Pelodiscus sinensis: one gene and its partners. The protein of the gene in region 1 interacts with the protein of each later gene in a biochemical or structural test. Links are inferred from orthologs where the notes say so. Each region holds a gene or a part of one and is shown in the gene's direction. Other genes may lie near its edges.

Region 1 (7,390 bases):
TGAAAGAATAGCAGTATGCTTGCATTGCTACTTTGGTAGGTTCATATTGTGGCAGTGTTAAAATCAATGCAGCTTGGTCGTTGCATGGCTATAGTCTTGTTTAGTTATGTCTACAAAAAGGACACTTCTGAAATATTGCCACTGGAACATCTGGGAGGTCCATTTGGAATTTTTGAGTAAAGTTCCATAATTAAGAAGACAGGGAAAAAATGCAACTTAAGTACCCAATATGTTTGGTGGGAGCATGATAAGGTTTAAGGCAGTGGTCACCAACCTTTCTACACCCAAGATAACTTTTTAAATGTCAGGACAAGCCAAGATCTACCCCGTCCCTTCCCCAAACCCCTCCCCTTTCCTTGAGGCCCAGCCCTCTCTGTTCCCCTTCTCTCCATCACTTGCTATCCATGACCCTTTTACACTCCCAGGTTACGGCTACACTGTCGCTTTTTTTCGGCAGTAAAAAAAAGAAAGAAGAAATTTTTCCAACATTTGACCTATCTAGACTGGGCCAAATGTCGGAAAACCCCCTTCTTTTGGAAACCCCCTCATTCTTTGTGGAACGAGGAATACAGGGGCTGCCAAAAGAGCGTGTTTTCCGGAAAAACTCCTGCAGTCTAGCCATACCCTCACTGTGTTGAGACAGGAAGTGCAGGTTCTAGGGTGTGCATGAGGGATTTAGGTATGGGAAAGAGTGAGAGGTGCAAGCTTTGGGACGGAATTTGGATGCAGGAGGATGTGGAGAAGGGGATGTTGGCTCAGAAAGGGGGCTCCAGGCTGGGGAGTGCTGGCTCAGGTGGAGAGTTGGGGTGCTGAGCAAGCCACAAGCTTGTGGATGTGAGGGTGCAGGAGTTAGGGTTGAGGACTCAGGGCAGAGAGGCTAGGAGTATGATGGGCTCAGGACACAGATTTGCAGTGTGTGTATGGTGCAAGAGTGTTGTGGCAGAAGATTGAGGATGTGGAGGTGCAGGAGTTTGGGAATGTGAGGCGCTCAGGACAGGAGGTTCCAGTGTATGATAGGCTCAGATTTGGAGTCGGGTGGGGGGTACAGGAGTGTTATGATGCTGTGGCCAAATGAGGACTTGGCCCCAACTGGGGGCTTGTTGGCCAGGCTTCATTTTTAAATAAAATATTATGTCAAACACAAAAGGTTTCAGCATTGTCTTTATTTATGAGAAGGGTGGGTAACCTGTTTTGAGTCAGGGGTCACTGGCCCACAGAAAAGTCAGTCAGGACCATACAATGAGATACAAAAACACAACCCCTCCAAACCCCTCAAACCTCACTAATGTGGCCCCAACTGTATTTGTGGGTACCGGGACAGCGTTCTGGGGCAGGGTGCTTGTGGGTGCTGGGACAGGGTGCCAGGGCAGGATGTTAATGGGTGCTGGGGCAGGGGACAGGGTTCCAGTGGGTTCTGGGGCAGGATGCCAATGGGTGCTGGGGTAGAGGACAGGGTGCTTGTGGGTGCTGGGACAGGGTTCTGGGGAAGGGTACCAATGGGTACTGGTGCAGGGGACAGGGTGCTTGTGGGTGCTGGGGCAGGGTATTCGTGCGGGTCTGGGTGAGAAGGAGGGGACAGGGACCGATACCTGAGGATCCTGCAGCTGCATGCCAAGGCCCAGAAAGTGCGCAGGTTGTTCCCCCATCTCCCAAACAGCGGTGCGGTACCTGACACGCTGGTCCATTGCACACCTGATGACTTTCTTCATGGGGAGAGGGGGAGTCCCAGACTGCGCCAGCCCCAACTCCTTGGGCAGCACACACCTTGCTCCCCTGCTCTGCACAGCAGCGCACACCGCCTGAGCAGCCGGAGCCAGCGCAGTCCTGGATTCCCACCCCCTCCCCCATGCGCAGGAAGGCACCAGGGGAACAAAGTCCCCAGCGCACGATGGACTTGTATTTTAGGTACCACGTCGGCTGTTGGGGCAGTGGGGAGAGCAGCACTTCCAGGACCTGGTGCGCAACTGAAGAACTGCCCCCCAACCCCGCAGGAAGCCCGCGCTACCTCCATGGTCCCTGGAAGTAGCATCAGTGTGGCCTGCATCTTGGGGGTAGGGTGATAGCGAGGGGGGACCCCAAAGCCTCGCGATCAACAGGTCAAGCCTCCGGGATCAACCAGTTGATTGCGATTGACGGGTTGGTGACCATGGGTTTAAGGTTATATGCCCTTTGCATCCTTTCACATATCTATTTATGGTGGAGAAATGATCATGGAGTAGAGGTATCTCTACTTTTGAATTTACCCCTTGCTTTAATCCCAGGCAGAGGTAGTTAAGATGATGCATTTCTATGCCCTGCTCCGTTATGAAGGAGATGGTGGGCTGGGGCACTTGACTACTAGACTAGATCCTGGGGCTCTCCTGTAGGCTGCCACACTAAGCAGCAGTCAGCTAGGCAGATTAAAGGGACTGGCTTATGTCTCCTCCGACCCCCGCAATACCCCTGCACATACATACCTCACCTGTCCTGAGCCCCTTCTTACACCCACAACCCTGACTCCTTCACCCACCACAACCACAACCCCCTGCTCTGAGCCCTTCCTCAACCACCCCCAACCTTGTAAACCAGAGGTTGGCAACCTCCTCCTTAGCCAAATATTGCTCAGTAGGGAGCCACATAAGGCTCTTTTGCTGCTGGAGCTCAGCCCCTCCTCCTCACAGCAGAGAGTTCACGCTGGCAACTCCAACCTCATGTTCCCCCCTCCCCACCGCAAGACTGAATCTCCAGTGCCATCTTCCTGCAGGAGGAGGGGGAAAGAAAGCCCGAAGCCTCCCTGCCAGATCAAGCTCGTGGGGAAGAAGCAGAGCCAGAAGCAGCTGCGTGCATTGCGCTTTCCTTTCCCTGGCTGCGGGAACATCAGAGCATGGACATGCTTCCTGGAGGCTTTCCCCGCTGCTCCCATTGGCTGGAATCTGGCCAATGGAAGCAGCAGGAGGCTTTGTCTGAGTCTCCTATATCAGAAACTCTGCCCTGAGCTCTCTGCACTCCACCTCTACACTTACATTTCATTCAGATACCATTGTATCGCAACCTCCTAGCTTGATCACACCCCTCCCCAAGGGAATGCCACATGACAGTACCTGTAAGAAATATTAAGTTACTTTCATTAACCTCTGATCTCAGGCTGAAGGGCAGGGCTACTCAACATGTGGCCTGCAGTGCGGTTTGGGTTTACACAGGGCTCATCACGCAGCCCATGGGTGGGATCCTTTGAACATGGCATCCACTGGGAACATGCTCCACAATGGCAAGTCAATAAATGGTCTTCTGTTGATATGCATTTTAGTAGTTAAATTCCTAGACTGTCATTGCTCATTAAGGGTATGTCTACATTGCAAGCTTATTTCAGAAAAAAGCTATTATAGAAAATATCTTCCAGAATAGCTTATTTTGAAATAAAGTGTCCATACTACAGGGAAGCCTCCAAATTAGGCCAAGGCAGGCAGGCTCCCCTAATGTGGATGCGCTGTCTCAGTTTAGAGCCCCAGAAGGCACTGGGGAGGAAAAACTTAGAATGGCCCTGGTGAGGAGTTATTTCGACATAGCAGCACTGAAGCATCCACATAAACCCTCTTCTGAAAGAGCTTTTTTGGAAGATGCCTTATTCCTCATGGAATGAGGTTTGCCAACGTCAGAAAAAGCCTTCCTTTATTTTGATTTTCTTTCAAAATAACCCAGTTGATGTGTGGATGTTAGTATTGTTTTTCTGGAATAACAGCTGTTATTCCAGAATAACAGTGCAGTGTAGATGTACCCTAAAAGTGCTGTCATATGGGTGGAAATCGAGTAAATATTGCATTTTATTAATATCAGCAGAACTGACTTAAATGGGCCTGTGTGTTCTGTAATCTTGCCTTAGTCTTTGTATTGATGCCTGTCAGTGTGAAAGAAACTATTTGCATATATTTGAATATGCATGCAACCACACTGAAGTTGTGGCCCTCAGCATGTAGCTTGAGGGGCTTCCAACGTTGTCCCTGTGGCCTCCAAAGTTGAGTAGCCCTGCTGTAGCGTCTTGCAGCAGCCAGCAATTGCCACTTCTGCCTTCGGGCAGTCAGCTGGCTCCCTAGGCCTGCTGGCTCCGCGGCCTGACTGCAGGGGGCGCTGCGCCTCCTCCCGCCCGGGACTGCATTTCCCAGCATGCAGCGGGCTCCGGGCTCTGTCTATAAGTAAAAGCGGAAACAAAAGAGCCAGCGAGTGAGAGCCAAGCGGATCCGGCCTCGGCCCCTGACGCCCTGCGAGAGCCCGGCCCCCGCCCGGAGCGACTGCGCGCACCCAGCCGGGGAGCAGCCGCCCGCCGCCGCCTCGCAGAGCCCCGAGCCGGAGCGTGTCTCCGCCATGGCGCTGAAGCGGATACAGAAAGTAAGAGCGGCCGCGCCGGGCCCTGCCGGGGGAGCCGGGCCTGGGGTCCCCGGGGGGAGCGCGGCCGGGGGAGGCCGCTGAGGAAGGAGCTGTGCGGCCGGGGGGCTCGGGAGCGGCCGGGGGAGAGGAGACGTGCAGGCAGAGGGGCGCTGGGGGAAGGGAGGCCCCACTAGAAGGGAAGCTGATGGCAGGGGAGAGGGGGATTGCAGGGGAAGAGAGGCTCAATGGGCAGCGAGAACTTTGTGGTGCCGGTGTCGGAGGGTAGAGCAGTGGGTGTGAAATCTTGGCTGTGTTTCTCCTCCTCGGAGTAATGAGGTTCTCGTGTCTTTGCTCATACCAATGGGGATATTGATGGTTTGTTGCTTCTGGGAGACTGTTCTTTGTTCCTCTTACCCCGTGGAAAAGGAGTGCCAGTCTGTGGGTTGGAGGAGGATTGCCTGTAGAACCCTGTCGGAATGGTGCTGTGCAGCTGCATAACAGTCTGGATAAAGTATAACCTTGTGCATACACTAACCTTCACAAGGCCCAAGTGAGGTGGGCAGAGTTGCAGTTACCTTACAGTGGGAGAAACTGAGGCACCAAGAGGAGGCTTGCCTATACTAGGGATGTTAAAAAGAAGGTAATTGGATAAACATTTAACAGCTGAAAATCTCAGCAGTTACTGCAGTTGCAAGTAACCGTGTATGGGGCATGCACTGGCTCTTGCCTGCCACTCAGCTCCTTGGGGAGCCAGCTACCACCTTGTATTGCTGCCTCTGATACTGACATCTGCCTTCAGTACTACACAGTATTCCTCTTGTATTGGCTAGCGACTAGAAAGTATAACCATGTAAACAGTTAACCAATAAGCCTGGACTCATTGGTTAATATTCACGGTTACATGTGGGTTCCCATCCCACTCCTGGGGAGTCAGGTGGTTCCTTGGGAGGTGGTGTGCACTGGGAGTAGGCTTTTAAGAGGCAGCAGCTGGCTCTCTGGGGTTGTATCTAGACTAAATAGCTCCGTTGATGAAGCCATGTGAAGTAGTTTACTCGATATAGTCAATGAAGCAGGGATTTAAATAATCCCCGCGTCATTAAAATAAAAATGGCCACCACGCTGTGCTGACAATCAGCTGATCCGGCACAACATGGCAGTCTAGACATGGCGCGGTGGACAAGGGAAGCCTTTGTTGATTGCTCTGGTATGCCTCGTTTCACTTTATCACCGCGCGGTGGCCATTTTTATTTTAATGAAATGGGGATTGTTTAAATCCCTGCTTCATTGACTATTGAGTAAACTACTTTACATGGCTTTGTCGATGGAGCTATGTAGTCTAGACACACCCTGGGAGTGGGGCTGTGGATGGGATCCAGCAGCTGCCTCTGCACTGCTGCCTCTTAAAAGCCGACTCGCAAGAAAGCAGTTGGCTCCCCAGGAGCAGGATGGGAACCTGCATGTAACAGCGACAGAGTCCTGTAGCGCTTTAAAGACTAATAGATGTATTGGAGCATAAGCTTTTGTGGGCAAAGACCCACTTTGTTATGTAACAGTGAATGTTAACCAATGAGCCCAGGTTTATCAGTTAACCATTTACACGGTTATATTTTCACATCCTAGGCTATATAAGGGAAATACTGTGTGATACTGACAGCAAGTGTCAACAATAGAAATAAAACTAGACTGATGCTGAATGTAGTTGAGTTGATATGTAATCAAAGAAAAACTGTGTTCAATGCCACTTCCAAAACTGCATTAATTCTGGTCTGGCCAGTTATTGGTAGGTTCCATAGCAGATCAGTGGAGGAGCTGAGATTAGAATTTGAGAGTTCATGTTTCTCAACACTTAACCGCCAGAAGATCATGTTGCTTCTCAACGGGATCAGTGTTTTGTGTTAATGTCAGAGAGACTTTGGTTTAATTCATCTTGTTCCCCTGATTGCTAACAATTGCTCTCCTAAATCTGTTTGCTTTTCTATCGCATTGGGTCTGCTCAGTAAAGCAGATTGTATTTTACTTTAGTTGATCATTTCCTCCCTAATGTTGCATACTTTGTCCAAGGGCTGGTAGTCGAAGTAAGGGCCTATCTTATGTAGCTTGTGTCCAGGTTACAGTTATGACAGTAGCACAGTTTACCGTGCATTGCTTTGTTGTGTAGCATTGTAGTGTAGATGCTTCTTAGAGCAATGGAAGGGTTTTTTTCCATCAATGTAAGATCTCCAACTCTCTTGAGTGACAGAATTTTTCACACCTGTGAGCACTACAGTTATATTGACCTAACTTTTAAGCATAGACCAGAACTTTGATTGTCTTGCCCCCAAAGATTTTACAGTCTTTTTTGATTATGCTCCTTTGTACAGTGCCTTTCACAATGGGGTCCTGGTCCATGACTGAGACTCCTAGGCAATTTGATAATACAAATTATAATAATGAATAATACACCATTTACATGCCACCTTAGGTCTGAAACTGTTGCAATGGAAATGCATCTGCTACTAACACAGATGTTCCTAATTATCAGCTAGGGTGGGGATATGAGAGTTTAACTGATAAGCATCAGTGTGTCAATTCCTGTTAACAGTTGAATTCTGGGAGGGATCTGCAAGGCCAGCGGCCCATAGCCTGGGAGTCTTCCCTCCCTATCCTTACATTCCTAGATAACCCATTTAACCGTGTAATCAATAGACTTCTGATTGGTTACATGTTTACTAATTTTATACATTTTTACATCTCAAATTCAGGGTATCTTGTTGTGATCTTCCTGCAGAGCATGTTTCTCTCTGGCAACTTTATCACTTGAAAGGTACAACCTGGACATCTGATAGGAATTCTGTACCTAGAAAAGATGGGTTAAGGCATGATTTTTATGTCAGCAAAATAAGCAAAAATGTATGGTATTTTTGGTTTGTTTAAGGGGAAGGAGTTGCAGGAGGAAAACCCTTTCAGTTTTCCTAGCTTTAGGCCCTGACAATCAAGGAAATGGGATGTGTGTAGATATCTGAATCTTTAATTTGTCATTAATATCAGAGATTGATCAAACTTACTGTTG
Region 2 (7,766 bases), on another chromosome or scaffold:
AACAAATGACAACACTAAACTTTCCTTCACAGTTATTAGTGATTACATGCTAAAATCCTACCTAGTGTAATCCATTGGCATATTCATCTCTAGGAGGACATCTACACCGCAGAGTTACTTGGGAGTAACTGACGTTATTCCAAAATAACACAGTGTAGGTCTACAGAACAAGCCTTTATTTCTGAATAATGTTGAGCTAGAGGACTTTTTACTCCAACCGCAGTAACCCTCATTTCATGAGGATTAAGGGAAGTTGAAAGAAGGCTGTTCTTCCTTCAACTTCCTGCTGTGTAAACAGTTCCAAAAGCCTAAAAAAGCTATTTCGATTTAAGCTACACCACTGACGTAGCTGAAGTTTCATAGCTTAATTCAATTTTAGCCCTAGCAGTCCTAAGGTATCACACCTGACTATCAAGGCCTGCTAAAAACATTTCAGAGTTACTGGCTGTGTGTGCACAGAAGTTGCTCTATACATCTTGGCTACGTCTACACTGGCATGATTTTCCGGAAATGCTTTTAATGGAAAAGTTTTCCGTTAAAAGCATTTTCGGAAAAGAGCATCTAGATTGGCAGGACGCTTTTGCGGAAAAGCACTTTTTGTGGAAAAGCGTCTGTGGCCAATCTAGACACGCTTTTCTGCAAAAAAGCCCCGATTGCCATTTTCCCAATCAGGGCTTTTTTGTGGAAAACAAATCTCTGCTGTCTACACTGGCCCTTTTGCGCAAAAGTTTTTCGGAAAAAGACTTTTGCCCGAACGGGAGCAGCATAGTATTTCCGCAAAAGCACTGACAATCTTACATGAGATCATCAGTGCTTTTGCGGAAATTCAAGCGGCCAGTGTAAACAGCTGTCAAGTTTTTCCGCAAAAGCAGATGATTTTGCGGAAAAACTTGCCAGTCTAGACACAGCTCTATGGTTTTACATGGTTGATAGTCTGCAGCTACAGCAGTGTCACAACACAGACTTTTCAATTTATAAACTAACTAGGCATGATTTCACAGAAAAGCATTTAAACATCACAAAACTTAATACACGTACAAATTTGGTTTTTTTTTAATAAATGAGGGTAATACACACACACACACACACACACACACACACACACACACACACACACACGTTACAACTCCTCTTTGGAAACTAATGTGTGTAAGCACAATTCACTCATTCTGCTGACAAGGAAAGGCACACAAGTTCTACCACTCCTTCAAGACTAACAGATGGTTAAAAAACAACAAATAGTCTTGCAGCACTTTAAGAACATAACAGAGACTAGGGATACTATTCCTTACCCAACCTGGGTAATAGCCTTCACAACCTCCTTAGGCAAGGTTACGATAAGCATGGGCACTTGTACACAGCAAGTAGTTCAGCCTTGTTTATAACCTTTACACATGGTCATCAAACAAAAAGACAAGCAGACCCAACCTTAAGTTTGACTCTTTACTAACTATAAGCAAATGGAAAAACTTAAAAAAAAAACAGCAAATAGTCTTGCAGCACCTTAAAAACTAACAAAACAGGTAGATGGTGTCATGAGCTTTCAAGGGTACAACCTACTTCTTCAGTTTCATCGGTCGTGGGTAGTGCCCATGAGGGTGTATGATATCATCTACATGTTTTGTTAGTTTTTAAGGTGCTGTAATACTATTTTAGAAAAGTCTGGCATTAGAAAAAATTCAGAGAAGGGCAACTAAAATGATTAGGGGTTTGAAACAAGTCCCATATGAGGAGACTAGGACTTCTCAGCTTGGAAAAGAGGAATAAAGAAAAGTTATTTACTTGTTCTCATAATATAAGAACTAGGGGCTACCAAATGAAATTAATGGGCAGCAGGTTTAAAACAAATAAAAGGAAGTTCTTCTTCACATAGCGCACAGTCAGCCTGTGGAACTCCTTGCCTAAGGAGGTTGTGAAGGTTATTACCTAGGTTGGGTAAGGAATAGTATCCCTAGTCTCTGTTGTGTTCTTAAAGTGCTGCAAGACTATTTGTTGTTTTTTAAGTTTTTCCAGTTACAGACTAACTGAGCTACCCCTCTGAAATTTATAATCAAAATCATTCCCTCTTTTATCCTCTATTTCACTCAAATTTTAAAGAGACGCTGTAAGATTATTTTTTCCTCATAACCAATGTTTCCTCATTTCTGTAATCAGAAGGGATTTTGAAAATGTCAAATTTGATTTTCTAACTCCACTTAGCTTGGACAATAAAAGCAATCAAATCAGTTCCACTTTCTGATTTTCAAGCACTACTGTATATAGGAAAATATGAAATATAAAGCAAAATAACAAAACATTCCAGCATCATCACAAAACACTTTGTTGTCATTAATTCATTTTAGATTTAATGAAACAGGCCTCAACACTGCAAACACTAATGTAACAATCCTGTTTATATTTACACATGAATAATCCCACTGAAGTTTGGGTTACATCCCCATTTGCTGTATTTTTTACTCATTTATACATGCTGGCATTTTTTGCTGCATCCATTCCTGATAATGGATTTTATAGAAACAATTTAATTTCAAGCACCAAAATCACAGTAACGCACTGCCTACTCTATTTTCTGAGTGGTGTCACAGAGTGTTCCATACTACAGGCAATGCAGTACTACAGTTTTTCATTCTGGTATGGCACTGCAGAGTGTATAAACCTACTCTTCCACTATCCTGCCAGGGACTGCACTATTGTCTTATAGAACTGGACTGTAAGAGACCTGTTCATTATCAGTTGATGCATTACATGGTGAGAGTATAAAATATAAGGTAAAGCTGCAATGGCTAAATTGATACTGAGGAAATGCAGGAGTTTGCAGCTCTCAAAATAATGGGATCAGAGCTTTGGCTTGTAGACAGGGAAATGCTGAGACAATCCAAAAACATCAGCAAAAGTCATTTTCTAAAAAGCGCCAAGGATGCATTTTGTTCTTTTCAGTATTACTGTGGCCAAGTGCTTTTAGGTGTTTACGCAGAGTTCCAGGATAGGGATGTAAGAGTCCACTATCTGATAAGCAAAAGCTTATCAGATAGTAGACTAGCCCCTCCACTATTTACTTCCCCCCTCCTTTGCTGCCTGTATCAGAGGCAGTGGGGGAGCAGGAGCCAGTGCTGGGGGGAGCTGGCTTAAAAGCTGGTTCTCCCAGTACCATCTCCGGGGGGGGGGGGGGTAAGGGCAGGGCAGGGAAGGCAGGGGGTAGTGGGGCTCTTAATACATTTAAAAAGCCAGGAGCAAACCCCACTGCAGCTCTCCTACTTATCAACTAATCAACTAGTCCAGGGCTACTCAACTTTGGAAGCCCCGGGTGCCACATTGATACTCACAGCACATGCCAAGGGCTGCAACTTAAGTGTGGTTGCATGTACATGCAAATATATATGCAAATATATGCAAATAGCTTCTTTCACTCTGACCGCATGAATACAAAGATTAAGGTAAGACTACATAACATGCAGGCCCCATTTAAGTTAGTTCTACTGATATTAATACAATGCAATATTTACCCAATTTCCACCCCTATGACAGCACTTATAATGAGCAATGACAGTGCAGGAATTTAACTACTAAAACACATATCAACAAAAGACCAGTCTAATGACTACTTTTTTGTTTTGGCACCCACCTGCTGGCCGCATGTTGAGCCCCGTGTAAACGCAAATCACAATGTGGGCTGCAAAAAAGTGGGCCGTGTGTTGAGTAGGCCTGGACTAATCAATGCAAAATCCATCAACTTAGATGATTAGATGATTAAATGAAATTTAATGTCCCTATTCCAGGATAACAACAGTCAATAGGCCAGGGGATACTTAAGAATTATGTTCCTTTAGAATCCTTTGATCACATTGTAATGAGAGGAGATATGCTCTGAAAGGATGCTGTGTAAACAAGATTCAATCAAATAAAATATAGGTAATTTAATTAGGCAGTCTTCTGTCATGCAGATTCAGTAATGTCAGAGTCAACTGTATGTTCGCTGGTTGGACAGAACAAGCAGTCCTCCAGCTTTCACCTCAGCAAAGGAAGAACCATTGGATAATTACATTTGTTTTTGCCCTTGTTCTGCAAATTCTTAGGCAACATGTGCATAACTTTAATGAAGGTATTAAGTGTCAAAATTATGTATATGCTTTAGTGTTTGCAAAACAGTCACATCCCTGATGTGAACCACAAAAAAACCCTGTAAAATTCAGAGGGCTTTTGCATTCTCTTAAAATCTGCCAAAGAAGTTTTTGAAGTGATTATGTTATGTGTCCACCTAAAGTTAGAATATATAGTGTGATTGCTAATTATAGAAGACTTGTGTAACATGATTTGAGATTAATTTTAAAAGTTTAAAATATACCAGGGTGCCCAACACCCTTTCTTTATACACATACTTGCAATTCCAGCAGACAGAGTCACAAAACCAACAGGACGATAAGGTTAGAAAGGGACTGCAAAGGTCATCCAGTCTAACCCCCGCCAGATGTAGGCTTTGTCCTCTAAAGCCATATGCCACACAGTCATCATCTCTTAGAACAAGGAGTGCATGGGAAGCACGACCCACCCCCTCCACCTACGTATGCAGTGTGCACTCCCGCAAGAGGTGGATTTTACATCAAGCCTCCAGTTGATGAGTCACACACGAGTGGAGGTGCTGAATTGCAAACAACCGCATTTCACCTAAAAATAAGTGAGGTAGGTCTCCTCTCCCACAACGTGCGGCCCTTAGCAATCTCTCACGCACACACAGTGCTCGTGTATCAAGTGCAGTTTGGGGGTTTTTTTGACATGTAAAATATCTACTGTTGGACTAGGTGCACCCCCACAGCCTCGGTGTATCCTCGCTCCCGCAGCCCAGGACAGTGTTTGGAGTAACTACCACAATTGTGCAGTGCCAAAACTCTGTAGCTCAGCCTGCCACCGTGGGCCGCAACTAGTCCCCCCGGTGAACCTCACCCGCCGCCGCGGGGCAGCACCTTCACCACCTTTTATTCCCGCGAAGTGCTGTGAGGATGGTGGCTGCGTAACAGACCACAGCTCCCTTGGTGCAAACTCGGTGCTTGCTGGGTCTGTCTGTAGCGTTTCCCGCACGGGCTTACGCCAGCCATGTTAGCAGTCCCGCAGAGACGGCCCTCACCCCACCACCCCCGGGCAGTGGAAAGGGGCTTTTATACGTCAGAGTCGCCAGCGTGTAGGCCTGCCTCCCCCAGTGGAGTGTCAGCAAATGCCTTCCTCCTCTGCTCCTGCTACTCTACCGCACTTCCCCAGCGGCTAGCCCGCCCACCCTCCCGTGTCTTCAAATAGACCCCCGTGTCTCCTCTCCCTTGGCTGGGCTGATCCGAGAGTAGACTAGGGACAGTACTAGCTGGCTGGGGCATGCTCAGTAAGAGCCAGGCACTGCGAGCAGAACCCGCCGGGGAGCAGGCTTCGGCGCTACACCCTCTTCCTGCCTCTCTCGCTTGCGTCAGATCAATGTTGCAGACTGTGCGCTGAGGATCCGCGCGTGGCGCGCTCGGCCCGGGAAACGCGGCGGCTGCCGGGGCCCCTGTCGGGCTGGTGGCCGGAGCGCCCCTCGGAACGCCGGGACATCTCTCTGGAACGCCGATACACTTTGGAACGTTCGCGGCGCCCGGTCGGCTGCTGGCGGCGGCCCGCTGTTGAGAGCGGAGCCGGTTCGTTGCGCGGGTCCCGCCTGCGGGGTTCGGTGAGTGGCCACCCGGGTGCCCGCAGTTCCATGGTTGGCTCGGACCGCGATGAGCCGCCCGTCCTCCGCCGGACCCAGCGCTAACAAACCCTGCGGCAAGCAGCAGCACGCCCCGTCCCCCGCTGCTGCCCCTGCTGCCGCCGCCACCATCTCGGCTGCCGGCCCCGGCTCCTCCGCGCTCCCCGCTGCGGCCGCTGTGATCTCAGGCCCCGGAGGAGGCGGCGGCGGCGGGCCGGTCTCGCCTCAGCACCACGAGCTGACCTCGTTGTTCGAGTGTCCCGTCTGCTTCGACTATGTGCTGCCCCCGATCCTGCAGTGCCAGGCCGGGCATCTGGTGTGCAATCAATGCCGGCAGAAACTGAGCTGCTGCCCCACGTGCAGGGGATCCCTGACCCCAAGCATCAGGAACCTGGCCATGGAGAAAGTGGCTTCAGCTGTCCTCTTCCCCTGCAAGGTAAGAGGCTCTTCCAAGTCCCTTTCTGCTCCGGCCGACACGGTCCGGGGGGTGACTGGATGGAGCTAGTCCTTGTGCCTTATTCATCCCCGGACCGGAATGCTGCTGTCATTTCTGTAGAGCCACAAAGCAAAGGCTCCTCTAAGAGCTGCCATAGGGAGCCCTTTCCCTCTGGGTCACTACTGAGATGGGGACCTGCCCTCTCAACGAATCGCAGAATTTTGCAGAGGGCCGGATTGTGAAAGTTTTGCTTCTCCTTTCCAGATTCCAGTCAACAGGAACATTCTGCACCTTCCAGCCATACCAGAGGGAGGCTCGTGTCCTAGTTATATATATGGCTTCTAAACAATTCCCTGCCCCCTTTCGCTCCCACAGCAATATGTGCCCAAGTAACCCCAGTAACAGCTGATCACCCCTTTCCAGCAGAAACACGGGCGGGGGCTTCTACTCCCAGCCCTGTCAGCAGACATTTGGCCTCCTGCTGGGAGCACAGTTCCTTTCCCCAAGAGTATTAAGAGTACAAAGAATATATATCCTGCTCTTTGTCTTAAAGATACCCACAGCTTGACTCTTGTTTACAAATTAAGTGCCGCTGTCTTGTCTTAATCCTGTGTGATAGCCCTGCCGGTACACAGTGGTATTATGTGTAACTACACCATTAAGGCTTTTAAAACAATCAACTATTAAAATGTTACATAAACATCTAATTGTTAAAAGTAATATCACTTAGATTCTTGAATAGATCGTTTTTCACATTGCAAAGTGTTTAGACCATCTTAATGCATTATTCTTCATGCTTGCAATTTAATTTGATGACTAAGAGGGACACAATATATTTTAAAAGTCATGATAACTAAATGTGTTCTGTCTGTTATTTAGAACACTATTATAATTCCATCAGATTAAAGAAAATAAATCTGTCCTTCCATTTTCAGTCTGCTTACTTTGTACCAATTACTTGGTATTTAATCAATTTCACATCTTTTCCCTGGCATGGTCTGTGTAGTTTGGGTGGGTGTCTCTCTCATAATAATTAAGGGCAGAAAACATATATTTAAATAATAGGAAATGTGATAGACTAAGGGAATCAGGAACAGATAAAGTATCAGAATCTGCTGTTTATAACAGGTTAGATTTCAAATTGAGAGTGCCTTTTTAAATGAAGTGTTGATTACTTCTCCCACCCCAATAAACTACAAAGAATATTTAGAAAAGCTTAATCTGAATTCAAGAGCTTTGATTTCCTTTGTTGTGGTTGTTGATTTAAAGTAGATTGTGTGAATTATCTTAAAATATGTCCTTACGGAAATAAGCATACAAGGTGGATTATACAGATTCTTGCTACCCCTAGCAGAACTTTGATATTTACAAACAAGCCCAGATCCTGCAGTTTGACTCCACACAAGCTTAAGAATTCATATTATCACTCACACCTACTTGAAGAAGTGGGGCAATAGGGAATGAAACATAATAAGTGGAATGGGCTGTTGTACTCCTTTGTCTTAAATTGAGAGGCTTGACTGGAATTGGTGCTTAGAGTGAAAATATTTTCCTTCTGTTTGAAAAAAAGTGACAGGAGGCCATAATTTAAGCTGCTCATTTTCCACCACCCATGTATGCCCTGTG
Region 3 (7,689 bases), on another chromosome or scaffold:
CAAACGCTGTTTACAGTCTTTGCGAAAGTCATAATTAATTCTGTTACTGTAAAATGATTTTGCTTGGTGTGAAGGTGACTTTAACCTGTAAATTAGATGTTTATCTATGCATAGGAGATTTTCATATTCCTGTTTTTTTTATGTGTCTTCGTATACAATAACCATATCAGGCTCAGCTGTAAACTACCTCTTTGTCCAGTTTTAGATTCACCTTTAAAGGCTTTTTTGTGATAATAAACTTTTAATTCTAGTTGTTTAATAGACTTTACATCTAATCAGGCAATCGCCCCATGTTTATATTCATAATAATGCACCTGTTATTAGAGGAATTTAATAATGGGAACATATTCAAGACTTTGAAATAAGGCTATAAGGACCATAATAAATAACACCCCCAAACAGCTGCTACATAATATTCATTGCAAAATATATAAAATTAAAACTTTATAACCAATAGCCTTTGGCAAATTAATGTACTATGTATTACTACGTTTTAAAAGAACCCCTTTATAAAAATGAAGCAAAGATTTGAAAGTGGTGCAAGTAAGACATGGCGAAAGCAAAAGTGAAACGGCAGTTAAGAGTTTAATGCCAATAGCATAATTTCTTGTAGAAAAGACTCCTCAATCATTAGACAAACTATACTGACAATGGTGATAGAAATGTAGCCGTGTTAGTCTGGGGTAGCTGAAGCAAAATGCAGGACAATGTAGCACTTTAAAGACTAACAAGATGGTTTATTAGATGAGCTTTCGTGGGCCAGACCCACTTCCTCAGATCAAATAGTGGAAGAAAGTAGTCACAACCATATATACCAAAGGATACAATTAAAAAAATGAACAAATATGAAAAGGACAAATCACATTGCAGAACAGGAAGGGGATGCGGGGGGGGGGGGGGGGGGGAAGGAAGGAAGGTAAGTGTCTGTGAATTGATGATATTAGAGGTAGGGAGAGCGGGATGTTTGTGAGTTAATGGTATTAGAGGTGATAATTGGGGAAACTATCTTGGTAATCGGTGAGATAGTTCAAGTGTTTGTTGAGTCCTTTTTGGAAAGTGTCGAATTTTAACATGAATGACAGTTCAGAGGATTCCCTTTCAAGTGCAGATGTAAAAGGTCTTTGTAGCAGAATGCAGGTGGTTAAGTCATTGAGAGAGTGTCCTTTCTGGTTAAAATGGCAAGAAACTGTTTTTTCTTTGTGATCTTGTCTGATATCTGTTTTGTGGGCATTAATCCTTTGGCGAAGTGTCTGAGATGTTTGTCCAATGTACATAGCAGACGGACACTTTCGGCACATGATAGCATAGATTATATTTCTGGATGCGCAGGAATATGTGTTCTTGATCTTATAACTCACTTGGTTAGGTCCAATAATGGTATCAGCAGAATGAATATGTGGACAAAGCTGGCAACGGGGTTTGTTGCAAGGGAAGGTACCAGGGTTGGTATTAGTGTGGTATGTCCTGTGGTGGTTGGTAAGAATCATCTTGAGGTTAGGTGGTTGTCTATAGGAGACTATGGGTCTGTCTCCCAGAGCCTCTTTGAGTATGGTATCCTGTTCCAGTATAGGCTGTAGTTTATTGATAATGTGTTGGACAGGTTTAAGTTGGGGGTTGTAGGTGCCATTTTAACCAGAAAGGACACTCTCTCAATGACTTAACCACCTGCATTCTGCTACAAAGACCTTTTACATCTGCACTTGAAAGGGAATCCTCTGAACTGTCATTCATGTTAAAATTCGACACTTTCCAAAAAGGACTCAACAAACACTTGAACTATCTCACCCATTACCAAGATAGTTTCCCCAATTATCACCTCTAATACCATTAACTCACAAACATCCCACTCTCCCTACCTCTAATATCATCAATTCACAGACACTTACCTTCCTTCCTTCCCTCCCCTCCCCTGCATCCCCTTCCTGTTCTGCAATGTGATTTGTCCTTTTCATATTTGTTCATTTTTTTAATTGTATCCTTTGGTATATATGGTTGTGACTACTTTCTTCCACTATTTGATCTGAGGAAGTGGGTCTGGCCCACGAAAGCTCATCATCTAATATACTGACAATGACACTTCCAGTTCTGATGATGAAAACTTTGTACCCACAAATGACAATTCAATGCCGCTACCTCAAAATGAGTAAATAATAACTCAAAATGAGTAAATGGTAGCGAGAGATGCAGAATCTGCGTCGATTTAGAGACTGTACAGGCAGAAAATGAGAACCTTGGAGATGTTATGAAGCAAAAGCAAGAACTTATGACTAGCACAGGACATAGTATAACAACAGCGGCATCAGAACCTGATATTGGACTTCTTGCATTTTTGCTCAAATGCAGTCATTTCTCTAAGTTAATTGTTTTCAGATTCCAAGTTGTATACCGAAAGATGCTGAAAATCATGCTTTTCCCACTCATTTGCTGACAAAAACTCTTCCGAAGGGAGATGATACAGAAAATGATAAATAGAAAAAACTCCTTGAGCTGGTTTTGAATGTCATTCTTTTTCTTTCTGAATGGGGATTGGCTTTGTTTGATTCCAGTCATTGTATGGGTAACCCTACAAACGGAAACTTACTTGGTCTACTTGAGATTCTTAGCAAATATGACCCACTTTTATCAGGCCATGTTATGCGTGTTCGTGAATCACAAGAGAGCGGAAAATGCATGCAAGTCCATTTTCTGTCTACTAGAATACAAAATGAGTTTATTAAGCTGTGTGGAACATTTGTGCAAACAACAATTCTTGAAGAAATATGACATGCGAAATACTTTTAAATTATTATTGATGCAACTCCAAACTGTTTTTATAAAGAACAGATGACCTTGGTTGTTCAATTTGTTAAAACTTCAGAAAGTTCAAAGGTTTCAATTGAAGAACAATTCATTTTGTTTGATAATTTCACAAAAAAACTGGAAAATAAATCGCTGCTCATGTATTAGAAATTCTGGAAGGCTTCAAATTCCATTTTCAAGTCTGCATTGGCCAAGACTATGACAATGGATCCAATATGACTGGGAAGTACAATGGAGGACAAGCAGTCCTTCTTGAGCAAAATCCAAACTGAATTTTCTCCAGTTGTGGCAACCACGCACTAAATCTTATCGGCATTGATTGCTCTGAATCATGCAAGGAAGCAATCACATACTTTGGAACAATCCAACAGTTTTACAACCTCTTCCAGTAGCAGTCCTCAAAATTGGGAAATTCTAAAGCAGATTGAATCTTTTACTCTCACAGAACAGGCTTGCACTGAGTTTATGTCAGCAGAGAAGTATATATCCAAATCTGAATGCATTTTAATGTCATCCATATGGATGAAGCTGCTACAAATGATCCATGAAACTAATCTTGTAATTGAAGCACGCAATGCTACATTAGATGTTGAGAGGGATAGCACTGAATGACTTCTTACAGATATTCAAGAGATTTGTGATCAATGGAATGCAATCCTTTGAGTCCAAATCAGTAGCATGGGATATTGACATTTCATCTGAGTTTTCCACCAATCACACCCTAACATCTCAATTTGATGCATAAAGGCACTATTGAGTCATTTTTTTTTTATTATTGACTCCATCAAATCTGGTCTTACACGTCTATTTGAGTCACTACTACAAATTTGTACCTTTTTTAGATTCCTTTGGGAGTTCAGAGAACTAAGTGATGAAGATCTATATTCAGCAGCAGAGCAGTCTCAAGAAATGTACAATGAAATGTCAAGAAAGCTCTGACACAAGACCGTCTTCCTGAAACATATACATTCCGCTTACTTTAAATCAGACTGCAAGCCAAAAACTGCTTCCAGAAATATTCGATCTTGGCCTGTCGACTGTATTTCTTAGTATCACAATTGCATTACCTATTTTTGTCAGTCTTCCTGCATCAATGGCTGAATGCACAGTCAACATGTTAAAACAAGTGAAGAACTATGGTTCTACAATGGGACAAGAGCATTTGAGTGGGCTCGCCATGCTTAACATAAAAGGTGAGGTTGCACATACATTAGATTTTTCTTCAAATATAAACAAGTGTGCACCCAACAAAGCCAGAAAAAGCATTGCTAAAATGAAGAGTTTTGCTGGCAGTGGAAACTCACACTTAAAGTTACATTTTTAATATACATGGTCTTGTTAATAAACACGTCTCAAGTGTTCGTTTTCATATAGTCTTTGGGTTTTAGTGTAGTCCCCTTAGTATGACCCTGTGGATGAGAAGTTAGGTCAGGGCGCTGGGCAGGCGCCGCTGAACTCAAAGTGGCCCAGCCCTCTGTCGTTCTCTGAGCGGGCCTGCCTACAGCGCTGCTGTGCTGAAGGGGCAAAGGGCTCGGCGGGGTGGATTTGAGGCCAGGAAGGGCCCTGCTTAGAGCACAGGCTCCTTCACGGTGCTCATCCCCGCTCCCGGGCCGTGGCCACGGCTGGCGGGTGCCGAGGGGCTGCGCCACCGACGCGGGGCGGCACGGCCACCAGCGCCCTGAGGCTGGGCCTCTGACGAGCTCCAGGGGGCCGGGCGCGCGCTGCAGGCAGCCCGCGCGCGTTCCGGGCGGCTGCGGCGGGGCCGCGCGCCGATTGGCTGGGACGCGGGAACGCGCAGAGGGAGCTGGTCGGCGGCCATCTTCTCTCCGGAGCCGGCTGATTCGTAGTGCAAGTGAAGCAGCCGCGCCAGCCCCCTCCCCCCGCCCGGAGCAGTAGCTGGTGGTCCGAGAGGGGGGGCTTAGGGAAGCGAGGGAGCGAGTGGGTGTGTGTGTGGGGAGAGCAGCCCCTCCCGGCCGGGGGTCGCCCGGCGATCGCCGCAGGAGGCAGCAGCGAAGGTGGCACTGGGGTGGCCGGGCTGGTGCCTCCCCTGGGCGGGCAGCGGCTGCCCATTCCCCAGCCCCGCTCGCGGCCCCGGTGCAGCGTCAGCCTGGGAGGCAGCGGGGACGCCGCTCTCGATGGGATAAGCTGTAACCATGTTCAGCTTCGAAGGGGATTTCAAAACCAGGCCCAAGGTGTCTCTTGGAGGAGCAAGTAGGAAGGTAAGAGCCGCGCTGGGTCTCTCTGAATTCTGTATCCTGGCTGATGTCCCTCGCCTGCCTGCTTTGCTTTTTGCGCCCCGCTGCTGGGCCTTCAAATGGAGCAGGTGTGACTCAGGGCTCCTCGGGGCCAACAAAACCTGTCCCCACTCCCAGAGAGGGTGTGTTTTTGTGTTTTAAATCAGGCCACGCACCCCTCAAAGCTCCAGGTGCATTCACAAGTATGCGAGAGAAATTACACTACTCCTCTTTGACTCCCCCTCCTCCGCCCCTCCAAGTGATCCGGTTTGTTGTGGGAACCACGCTTGGAGCAGATAGTTTCTAGGGCGCTTTGAGTGAAGGGAAATAGTTAAGAATGTCTGTCGTGTCTTTTAAAGAAAAGACTTAATTGAAACACACAACAAAAATCATGCGCCAATCATGGGGGACGGAAATGCTTGTAAAACTTAATGGAAGCTCCAGGGGCCTCCATCACAAATGGTTTAGGGTTGTCAGGTCCCGATTTTACCCCTTTCACCACCGAGTTTGCATTCAAATGGCAAACTGAAATCAGTGTGTCATGTGCTGAGTAAGGAGCAGTCAGTAGATGATGTTGTTTTACTAGAGTATTGCCTAAAAGGACGTTAAATGGTTTAGTTAAGGCTTGCTGGTTGGAAAGACTATAAGTAACTTTTGTCAGCCACAGAATTCTCAGACCAAATTCCAAAACAAAGTTTTTGGAAGCAGTTTGATTGATGAGGTGTGCATCCCTGGTTAATCAGTTAGATTCAAGTTCTGACTGTCATGATCATTATAATGGGGTTAGCTGTTTGAGCGTTGGTGTAGTGTATTTGTTTTATTGTTCAACAAATAAAGATTTGGGAAAGTGTTTGTTGTTTTGGGACTCCAGGTTTGGCAGTAAGCTTTTAAGTCTCTCCTAATAAGAGAAACTTGTTACCTGATAGAAAAGTTCACTGTGAATTTACTATCACAGTATTGTCTGCTGCATATTTTCATAAAGAAAATGTACATCATAACTGTATTAAGTGTGTGTAACTATTCACTTGAATTATGGAGAAACTACCTTCTTTTGACATCTCTGATGACTAAAAGCCATTTATGGTCATTAGACCACATACATGACATTATGTTTTTTGTATGCCAAAAGTAGAATAAATCTTAATAGGTAATAGTGGTAATTGGCAGAGCATGCCCTGCTCTTCAGGAATGTATTTTAGGTATTTTACATCCCTTGGCATCGCATTATGATTGCTAAAAGAATTTTTCCTGCTCCAGAAAGAGAAAAAAGTATATAATCTTCTAATACTGTTATTATTTTCTCTAGTTTATGCAAATTGCAATTGGATTTTTAATCATGGTGGATTAGAATAATATTGTTCTCATATATTCTAAATTAACACACACAAAGTTTAAATTCCTATATGGGTAAATTTGCCAGGATAAATGTTCAAAAATTAAGGAAATGTGAAAGCCGAGATTGAGTATACAACTCTGTCCCATACCCACACCACTTCTGCAATCTGATCTAGATGGGTGGGTGTAATTGACTTAAGTAGCTCCACTTTTGTGCAAGTATCTGACCTTATAGATCTATTTAGTGCTTGTGTTATCAGTGGGTCTAATCAAGTAAAGTTACTCACAGTTTTCAATATGAATATGGGCACCATAGGAGGCTCTAATATAGATGCGTGTTTTTAAAAAAGTACAGGATTTGGTGAAGTTAATATTAAAATTTGTCATGTCACATGAAAAATATAGATTATCACACTTTCTGCATAACATGACATGCTATAGTAGATATATTAGTTTGGCAAATATTTTCATGGAGTTTAGGAATTGTGCATTTTGCTATTTTTTCTGATACTACGTAATAGATTTTTGTGGGTAATTTCCCCAATACTAATGGGTTCCAGCTGTACAAAATCCAAAATCAGTTTCTTGTCTCAACTCTTTCTGAAAATTTGAACTATTCTTTGGCATAAACTATCCCATCCCCAAGTACTTTAAAAAAAAAATCAGTTAAAAGCTCTAATCCTGCAAAAGTTAGTACCCAGGCAGCCTGGCACCAGTGCAGAGCTCCATTGAAGTCCAGCCAAGCTGTGTATGGGTGCATGATTGATACAATTGCAGGATTTGAGCTCAAATAAATGGTACTGTTTATGTATACAGACTGTCTAGTTTTAAAATTAAGATGTTCAAGGGATATTTTGCTGGTATAGTTATGTTGGTACAGGAGGCCCCAGACTTGCGACCGCCTGAGTTCTGACCCCTGCACTTACAACCATTTTTGCAAGTGTGGAAGGGGCTGGAACCGCCCAACTTACGTCTTTGGCCCACATTTACGATGGCACATGGTGCCTATTGTAAATGAGGATCAAGTTACGACACCCCCGTCTTGCAGTGCTTCCCCCAGAACCAATTGCGTTGCAAGTTGGGGGCCTCCTGTATAGCCAAAGTAGCAAAACACTTGTAGTCTAGGTTCATAAACTATACTAGCATAGTCACGTGCATCTGATGAAGTGGTTTTGATCCATGAAAGCTTATGCCAAATAAATCTGTTAGTCTTTAAGATGCCACAGGATTCCTCATTGTTTTTACAGACGCGATTACCCCTCTGAGACCATCTACTGACATAAACATATTGGAGCAAAAGTGTGCCACACTAGGAATTATG
Region 4 (8,119 bases), on another chromosome or scaffold:
GGAGTTACTTATCTTCTGTCCAAATGTAGTTTTTATTGGAATAGATTAGGTAAAATTTCAACAGTTTAAATGTATTCTTTAGAACAGCTGTTTCAGAACAGGGATGGGCAGTGAATATTGTTAAAATGGTCGTATCCATTCAAAATTCATTTTAGATGTAGTCTATTATGCTGATTTGGTAATTTACAACAGAATATTTGTTTATTTAATTTGGGGAGATTGTAAATACTTTAAAATCTCAATTCCACTGAAATAGCTTTTTACACCGTGAAATCTAGTAGATTTTTCTCCCTAAAATAGTCTGTCCAGAGGTACCTATTTTGAGTCCTCTAATATAATACACAAGGAACTTCTTTTGAGTACTGCAGAATCTCTAGGCATCCAGAAATATAATTTATGCTATCATGTGCCGAAAGTGTCCGTCTGCTTTGTACATTGGACAAACGTCTCAGACACTTCGCCCAAGGATCAATGCCCACAAAACAGATATTAGACAGGATCACAAAGAAAAAACAGTTTCTTGCCATTTCAACCAGAAAGGACACTGTCTCAATGACTTAATTACCTGCATCCTGCTGCAGAAGCCTTTTTAAACTGCACTTGAAAGGGAATCCTCTGAACTGTCATTCATGCTGAAATTCCACACTCTACGCGTCGGTCTCAACAAAGACGCTAACTATCTTACCCATTACAAAGATAGCTTCCCCAATTATCACCTCTTAATACCATTAGCTCACAGACATTTACCTTCCTCCCTTTACCCCCCGCATCCCCCTCCTGTTCTGAAATTTGATTTGTCCTTTTCATATGTGTTCATTTTTTTAATTGTATCCTTTGGTATATATGGTTGTGACTATTTTCTTCCACTATTTGATCTGAGGAAGTGGGTCTGGCCCACGAAAGCTCATCATCTAATAAACCATCTTGTTAGTCTTTAAAGTGCTACATAGTTCTGTATTTTGTTTCAGCTACACCAGACTAACACGGCTACATTTCTATCACTAGGAATTGTCTTGGCACTAAACTCAGTATGACGGGCCCCAGCTTTTTCCATTTCAGTCACAACAAGATGCAATGTGTGCAAGCTTTTCATTGGTAGAACATTCATCTGGTCATGTTACATGTAAACACATTAAGCTTGGCATTCTTATGTAGATGGTTAGTGATTCTTAGGATACCCTGTTAAAGATTCCAGAAAAAAAGTCTTAGAAACAAGCGGCACACTAAAATGTTTGGGCATTGTTAGAACCACATGTTACCAGTTGTATGGTTAGTATTTATTCCCAGTTAACCTACTTTGCTAAATGTAATGTTGAGTACACATCAGTAACTTACCAAATGGTTCTAGTTACCAAACACCCAACGCCTAGGAAATACTGTGTTTAAAAATTAACTTCAAAGGAATCCAAATATCAGGGCACCCAAACAACCTTAACTCTGGAGGGGAAGAAGACATTTTCGGCTCTGTTTTCACTGATTTTTTTTTTTAAAAAAGTGGTTTCTACCACAAGGTAAAGGTAAAGTCAATACTATTCTCCCCTTCACAGCCCTGTGACTTGACCTGACCTAATTTACCTTGTGGTGTCTTGTCTCTGCTATGTATTTACTGCATGCAATCCCTTGGAGGGACAGCACTGAAGTTTTCAACACAAGATAAACTAGGTGAGGTCAGTCGCAGGGTAGTGAGGAAGAGGAGATTGTTGACCTCATCTACTTTGCCTCCGTGTGCAAACTATAATTGCCTAGACTCCACGTAGAGTTTTGCAATCAGACACCTATCACGTCTTAGTTAACTCACCGCCAATAAGACAACAACTTTGTGTCAATATAGGCAAAGCTTTACAGCCGGTCTATGCTACCACTTACGTCAATTTAACCTGTGCCACTCGGGGTATTAAAAAGATCCCGCCCTGTGTGTGATGTAAGTTTAAGTCACCTAAGCACTGTCCAAGTGTTGCTGCTGGCACTGTGTCAGTGGGAGATGTTCTCCCACTGACATAGCTTCCACCTCTCACAGGGGGGGAATATTTATGCTAACCAGAGAGCACTCTCCCAGCAGCATAGTTTCTTCATTGGATGCCCTACAGCTGCATCAGTGCAACACTTCTAGTGTAGACCTGCCCTTAAATAACCTTCATACCTTTCTAGCAGTTCCAGCTCATTAATGTCTATAAACACCAGCATGCTTTCCTTTAGTCAATTTAAACCTTTGTGCAGCTACGTGCTATCCCCAGCAAAATAAGTGCTTTTGGCTCTCTGCTGTTTCAGATATTATTCAGCAATAACTCAGAACTGATTCCACACTGGACAGGTGGAAAACTCCATTTTTATACAGTGTTGAGTTGCAGAGCAGTTTGGAAGGCACAGCTCATGCAATTGAGTGCTCTTCTTTTGGTGTGCATTCAGGATTTGCAGCAAATTGGATATGTGCTACACATTTACCGTATTCATGGAATCTGTTGATATTTTTCATGGTCGCCTTATACTTCTTCCTGGAATGAAGACATAGTCAGACCATGAGAACTCTTGTTACTTAGAACATGTAAACGGAACCCTGCAGTGCTATAAAAACTCATGAAAATCCTACCCAGAAAGACACATACTAGTACTTGTGTGTACTCCTCTACTGGAGGGATCACACTCTTTGTGCTAGTTCAGTTTGGGATTTCCCTCTGTCAATAAACCCACATAAGTGTCTGCCTATTAAGGAATATATTCTCTGTGTTGCCTCAAATAGAGGACTGGGCTTAGCCACCTGTCTTACACTTTCCTGAAAAGTATACGAACCTGGATTAACTACCATAGAAACCTGCCTTTATTCGATGGTGGCCTTGTTGCCTCCTTGACATTCATTGTTTTGAGGGGATTCATGTAATTCAGCATCTGTCTGTGGAAACAATATCCTGAAGGTGTACTCATTTCTCAGTATGATTTCTCATCTCATCCACAGTGTTTCTCAAGTGTCATTTGTAAAATGGGTAGGAACAGTGGCAGACTGGGTGTAGGCAGAGGGTGAAAAATAGAGGTGCTGCATAATTCTAAGTAGTATGTTTAGAATCAATAAAAAGGAGACTATTCTTTTAAAAATTCTAGTTCCTGTATCACACTTCAGCTCTGAAATTTCAATACCAAGAAAGACCCTATAACCCAGCAGTCTGACACCTTGGTCACCAGTAGAGATGTAAAATCCTATTTAATTGGTTAACCTGGTTAAACATATTGTTTAACTGGTTAACCAAATTAAGAGGGGGTGGCAGGGCAGCTCCTGTCTAGCTGGAGTGCCCACCATGCCTGCTGCTGGGTTGGAGCAGCCCTCACCTCACCCTCCCCACTGCAGGCTCCTCTGGAAATCACATGTCAGGCTGGAGCAGCCCCTGGGTGAAGGCTACCTGCTGTGGACAGAGGCAGCCCCTGTCTGCTGTGGGCTTGCCATTGTGGGGCTAGAGCAACTCCCTGTCTGTGGCAGGCAGGAAGCTGCTCCAGCCCCCTCTGATTAACTAGTTTAACATTCACATGCTACTCACCAAGAGCCATCAACCACAGATTCTGATTCTGTCAGGTTGGGTCTCTTGGTGAGTGACCTCCATAAAACATCTTTCTGTTGGGAGCTTTCTCAAGGAACAGGGATGTAGAATAAGAGGTGCTCTATTAATAACTAAGTAAAAACATAGTATTGAAAACCAGAATATTTCTAGTTATAGATTTAGAATTTTAAATGGGTATTTACACAGTAGGTAAAGTTAAGTTATATTCAAGGCCTGTCAACCCGCATTTAGCAAACTACTGTACCCATCAATGGTTTATGTTGTGAAGGAAATGAGCATGAAGTAACACTTTTTTTTTTTTTATAGGTAAACCCAACTAATCATAGACTCCTGTTTGAAGTGTTTGATGAAAACAGATTGGTGAGTGTACTACTCTAGTCCCAGTTGTGTGTATTTTACTAATCACTCAACTAAACTTGGAAGTAACATAGCTCCTGAATCTTAGTTTTTGGAAAATTGGTATACCTTAAATAAAACGTATTTTTTGTTTCAGTGGTTTAAATATGTAAAATAAGTAAGGTAAAGTGAGGTATATAAAGCAGGAAACGTAGGTATTTTACAAGCTGAATATTTATAGCACTCCTCTTGAAACAAAATTATGCAGCTGAGATATTTAGGGAAGGGATACTGTAATTACTGCTTTATTTGTTATTTTTGTACGGTTAACTAGATGGCTAGGCAAAAATATGGTTTGATTTTAGGTATAGTTGATGTAAGGCATCAATGTAATTGTAATTTATGAAAGTAGTTTGAAGAAAGTTTTTAAAAGCAGTATTAATGGAATAGTGACCCACTAGCACTATATTTATTAACAGTATTATAACAAGATGTGGTGCTATATCACAAAATATTTGATTCTTTTAGATTATATAAAGTGCAGTATGTGTCTACCAAACTTGCTTAATATACTGGGACAAAATATGCCATATATATATATGATAGATTGACTATCTTTTTGTCAACTTTCTTTTCTTTCAGTTCCATCAAAGCAAATATTTATGTAATGCAAGGAAAAAGATAGAAACTTTTTTAGGTAACCTTTTTTCAGGGGGGAGAATATAGAGGTTCTCTCATCTAATGATGTGAGGAAATAGATTATTCCATTTCAACCCCCATTAAATGCCTCTAAGCACACTGATCATTTCAGTGCCTTCATATGGATTTATTATTCTATTTCAGAATTACAGGCCTCCACTTGTAGGGAATCTTGAATAACTCTTTCTAGTTTTAAGTTTCTTTTCCTCTTTTCAGGCCAGCTGGCAGAGTGGGACGTCAAAAAATTTGAATAAGTTATATGTGAACCAGCAGAGGGTAGTAGTGTGCACAAGCAAGCTAGTATGTGACAATACAGTGGTGGTTGTTAAAAAGACATTTTTCAACCATTACCACACAATGACATCTGAGAAGTGGTAATTGCCTTTATATCTCATACTAACGTGTAGATTGAGGGAGTATTGAACTGAGTACTCTAAGACTATTTTCTGTAGCATGACTATATTTTTAGGGGCCAAAACAGTTAATTTGTGTGTCTTTTTTTTAATTCCAAGCATAAATACAAATGTAAGCTTACAATTACTAAGATTTGCCCCCAGAATAATTTCTTACGAGTTCATCTTGTTCCTAAACCATCAGTGAGTTGTTAGATTGCAGTAGGTTTGTCACACTAGACTAGACTGTGGTTGCAAGTTGCGTATTTAGTAAAAAAGGGTACTTGTTTATTTAAATAGCCCAGAACCATGCTGTTTTTTGAAAAGTGTATTAAAATAATACTAACACCTGTGCTTGCATGAAGCAATCTACAGTGCTGTTACTGTAGCAAATACCCATGTTTTTCTTGTCGTTGGCTCATAGTCCAGTTAAAACAATAGAGGATTGTACTGGCCCTTGGCAGTTTTATTGTTTAAATCAGCTTTTATTTCTCTTGTACTTGGTTGTTTTTTGTATTTGAAAACAAGCTATTGTAAAACAGTGGTTTTAGGTATCTAGCAGTAGTATTGACCCAACACGTACAAGGGTAGAACTGTTGAAAAAACTGGGGTTTTTTTAACCGTTCATAGGAGCCAAGTTGCCACTCTTTTAATTGAGGTTATTTCAATTGTGTCTCTTCTGTAGATAAACTTTTTGTTTAAACAGATTTTGTTTCTGATTCATGCAAAAATCTTCTAGAACTTCAGTGCACCTCAGTTATGACAACCCCTTTTTAAAGGTTGAGATTCTGCATTGTGGCAGGGCTGAATCGGGATGTTTATTTAAATTTTTGGTTGTATCCCATATGTTCTTCTTTTAAGCTCTTTTGGCTCTTTGCAAGCATAGCTATCCTCCGTGCTGGCAATCAGACTTGTGGTAATATTGCAGACTCTCTCATTGGAAGGCTGCCAACACTGGGCAGCATTTCTGTATGGCACTTAAGTAAAATAATTCCAAAATGATATGCACACCCTTCTTCAGTTTTCGTTCGTCTTTGCTTCCTGATAAAACTGGGGGAAAAAAACAACCATCCTGTCTCTTGCCATCTTGTTCATTTCTGTTGCTGTCATTGTGTGAGAAATAGTTGGCATATGTAAGAATTCTTTGTTCAAATTTCTGTATGCAGTATAAATAGGTTATGCTGCATTTATAGTGATAAGGTAAAAGTTATGGATTTTTCTGTAGTGAATAATTTGTTACTTAATCTTTTAAAGAACCAGAAAAAAAACCCTAGAGCATAACCAGGGACTAATATTTATTTGTGTTCTACCATGGTAGCCTAATGTTGAAGCATCAAAACAGAGGAAGCCTGAATCTGTCATCTCAAGCCAGCTCACTTCTTCTCAATCTGCATTTGTGAAGCTGACTTGAACTATCAACACTTAAAGTGCTTTTGTTGCAGTGAAGTTTTTGTACGAAAGTGCCCTGTGAATGTGATGTGGCTGAGATTTATAGCAGTGCCGAGTGTGCTTGCTGCCTTAGTCAGCTGTGAGAGCTCTCCCGCGGGGGCAGCTCTTTTCTGATGGAAAAGGAGCAGCTGTGAAGGTGCTGTTTCAGGCTCTTACTGGTATTTAAAAAAAAAAAAAAAAACTAGCTTGCAGTGGAGAGGGGGAACCAAGTCATGTGATTTCAACCATCCTACCCTATGTCACTGTGTGTAGGAGTGCTGATTGCTCTTATCCAATCATGCCTGGAATGCTGCTTGCCACTTGGGCTATTTCTGCTATCTGTCGCTATCAGTGCTGCAGTACTAACAGTTTGGCAGATGGGACACTTTTTCTTGGAGTTTGTCTTTGTTTTCTAACTTCTGGCAGTGCCTGAATTGTTGCTGTTCTCCCTCTCTTTCTTCTCTCTGTTAAACCATGGCCCATCGGCTGCGGTTTCATTTTGGCTCTGGACGAAGCAACACAGCCCCTGAATCTGAGATCCTAGACCGAGAGAGAGAAGATGACTTTTTCATGGCATTCCACACTTTGCCAAGAAGAAACAGTCCCCATCCTTTCTCCCGACATGGAGCGGATTATGGTGGCGGTGATTTGCAAGGAGTGGGCTCCTTGAAAAGAAGTACATCCATGTTTATTCCTCAGCTTCTGAACAATATTGATGTGCGTCCAACAAGGAGCTCCTCTATGCAGATCTCTCTTCAGCGCAAAGCTGTGAACGGCTGTGCTGATGAGTGCGGAGCCCCAGAGTCTCCTGAGGAGATGCTGCCATGTAAATTCACAGACTCCAGGGAGCATTACACATGCCCAGTTGACAGCCCTTCTTCTTCTCCAAGCAGTCCACAAGGAACCCCAGAGAATTCTCCACCCAGGATGCCTGAAGAGATTCAGGAACAGCTTAATGGAGCTGTTTCCTGTAACCACAGAATATTTTGTACAGTTCCTTCCAATAACTGGAATGATGGGGCAACGACTGCCCTAGAAGACGAAGCAAGCGAAGCAGCTTCAGGGTTAAATCTAAGTGGCGTAAGAATTCAACATCGCGCTTCATGCACAGACATGCGTCAGGTTACGCTATTGCCCTTTGGTTCTGAGGATCAGAATAACTCCCCAGCCTCTGAACCCAGGCGCTGGTCCTTGCAGCACCTGCCAGATGTGTCAGCAAATTCAGGGAAAAAGTTATTTGTTTTCCAGTTGCAGCAATCGCAGGCAAGTGGTACAGGTACAGGAAGTGACTATAATTTTGGTTTTACTGGAACAAAAGGGAATAGATTGGTCAGATATCCTCGTATACGGCTGGAAAGGAGTACTTCCTACCCTGTACAGCCACGACCAGAACGAATTAGCCCAGTAGAAGACAGAATGAATTCAGAACTGCATGGAAATAGCAGAAATGGGTCAGAAATATCTAGAAGTAATTCAGTAGAAAGGATTCCTCAAGGGCAGGGATGCTTGTTTAAAATCAGACCAGATCAAAACACAAGGCAGCAACACTTCAGAATTCTTGTAACCCGTGGTACTGAAGAACAAAATCAAATGACTGATGAAGAGAGCCCTGATATCCCTGGGCCTACAGCCGCCAGTGCCACGGTAAGTAACATGCTGAAAATACTTCCCTTTGTGTTCTAATAAAATATAAATGGCCACACAGAAAACTTTTTCCAA

What was found.
Region 2: the proteins of UBE2D1 (region 1) and SIAH2 form a complex in vitro, tested with the Homo sapiens proteins (3 studies listed by BioGRID). The link is inferred for Pelodiscus sinensis from reciprocal best matches to the Homo sapiens genes UBE2D1 and SIAH2.
Region 3: the proteins of UBE2D1 (region 1) and UBE3C form a complex in vitro, tested with the Homo sapiens proteins (8 studies listed by BioGRID). The link is inferred for Pelodiscus sinensis from reciprocal best matches to the Homo sapiens genes UBE2D1 and UBE3C.
Region 4: the proteins of UBE2D1 (region 1) and NEDD4L form a complex in vitro, tested with the Homo sapiens proteins (7 studies listed by BioGRID). The link is inferred for Pelodiscus sinensis from reciprocal best matches to the Homo sapiens genes UBE2D1 and NEDD4L.

What each region holds. Positions count from the first base shown.
Region 1 is NC_134718.1:33,639,674-33,647,063, reverse strand, and holds the start of UBE2D1 (ubiquitin-conjugating enzyme E2 D1), read left to right. Parts: upstream 1-4,174; 5' UTR 4,175-4,338; coding exon 4,339-4,362; intron 4,363-7,390.
Region 2 is NC_134720.1:26,656,389-26,664,154, reverse strand, and holds the start of SIAH2 (E3 ubiquitin-protein ligase SIAH2), read left to right. Parts: upstream 1-4,707; 5' UTR 4,708-5,735; coding exon 5,736-6,140; intron 6,141-7,766. UniProt on the Homo sapiens protein: E3 ubiquitin-protein ligase that mediates ubiquitination and subsequent proteasomal degradation of target proteins.
Region 3 is NC_134712.1:240,091,719-240,099,407, reverse strand, and holds the start of UBE3C (ubiquitin-protein ligase E3C), read left to right. Parts: upstream 1-4,575; 5' UTR 4,576-4,952; coding exon 4,953-5,018; intron 5,019-7,689. UniProt on the Homo sapiens protein: E3 ubiquitin-protein ligase that specifically catalyzes 'Lys-29'- and 'Lys-48'-linked polyubiquitin chains.
Region 4 is NC_134716.1:110,161,470-110,169,588, reverse strand, and holds the start of NEDD4L (E3 ubiquitin-protein ligase NEDD4-like), read left to right. Parts: upstream 1-5,042; 5' UTR 5,043-6,874; coding exon 6,875-8,044; intron 8,045-8,119. UniProt on the Homo sapiens protein: E3 ubiquitin-protein ligase that mediates the polyubiquitination of lysine and cysteine residues on target proteins and is thereby implicated in the regulation of various signaling pathways including autophagy, innate immunity or DNA repair.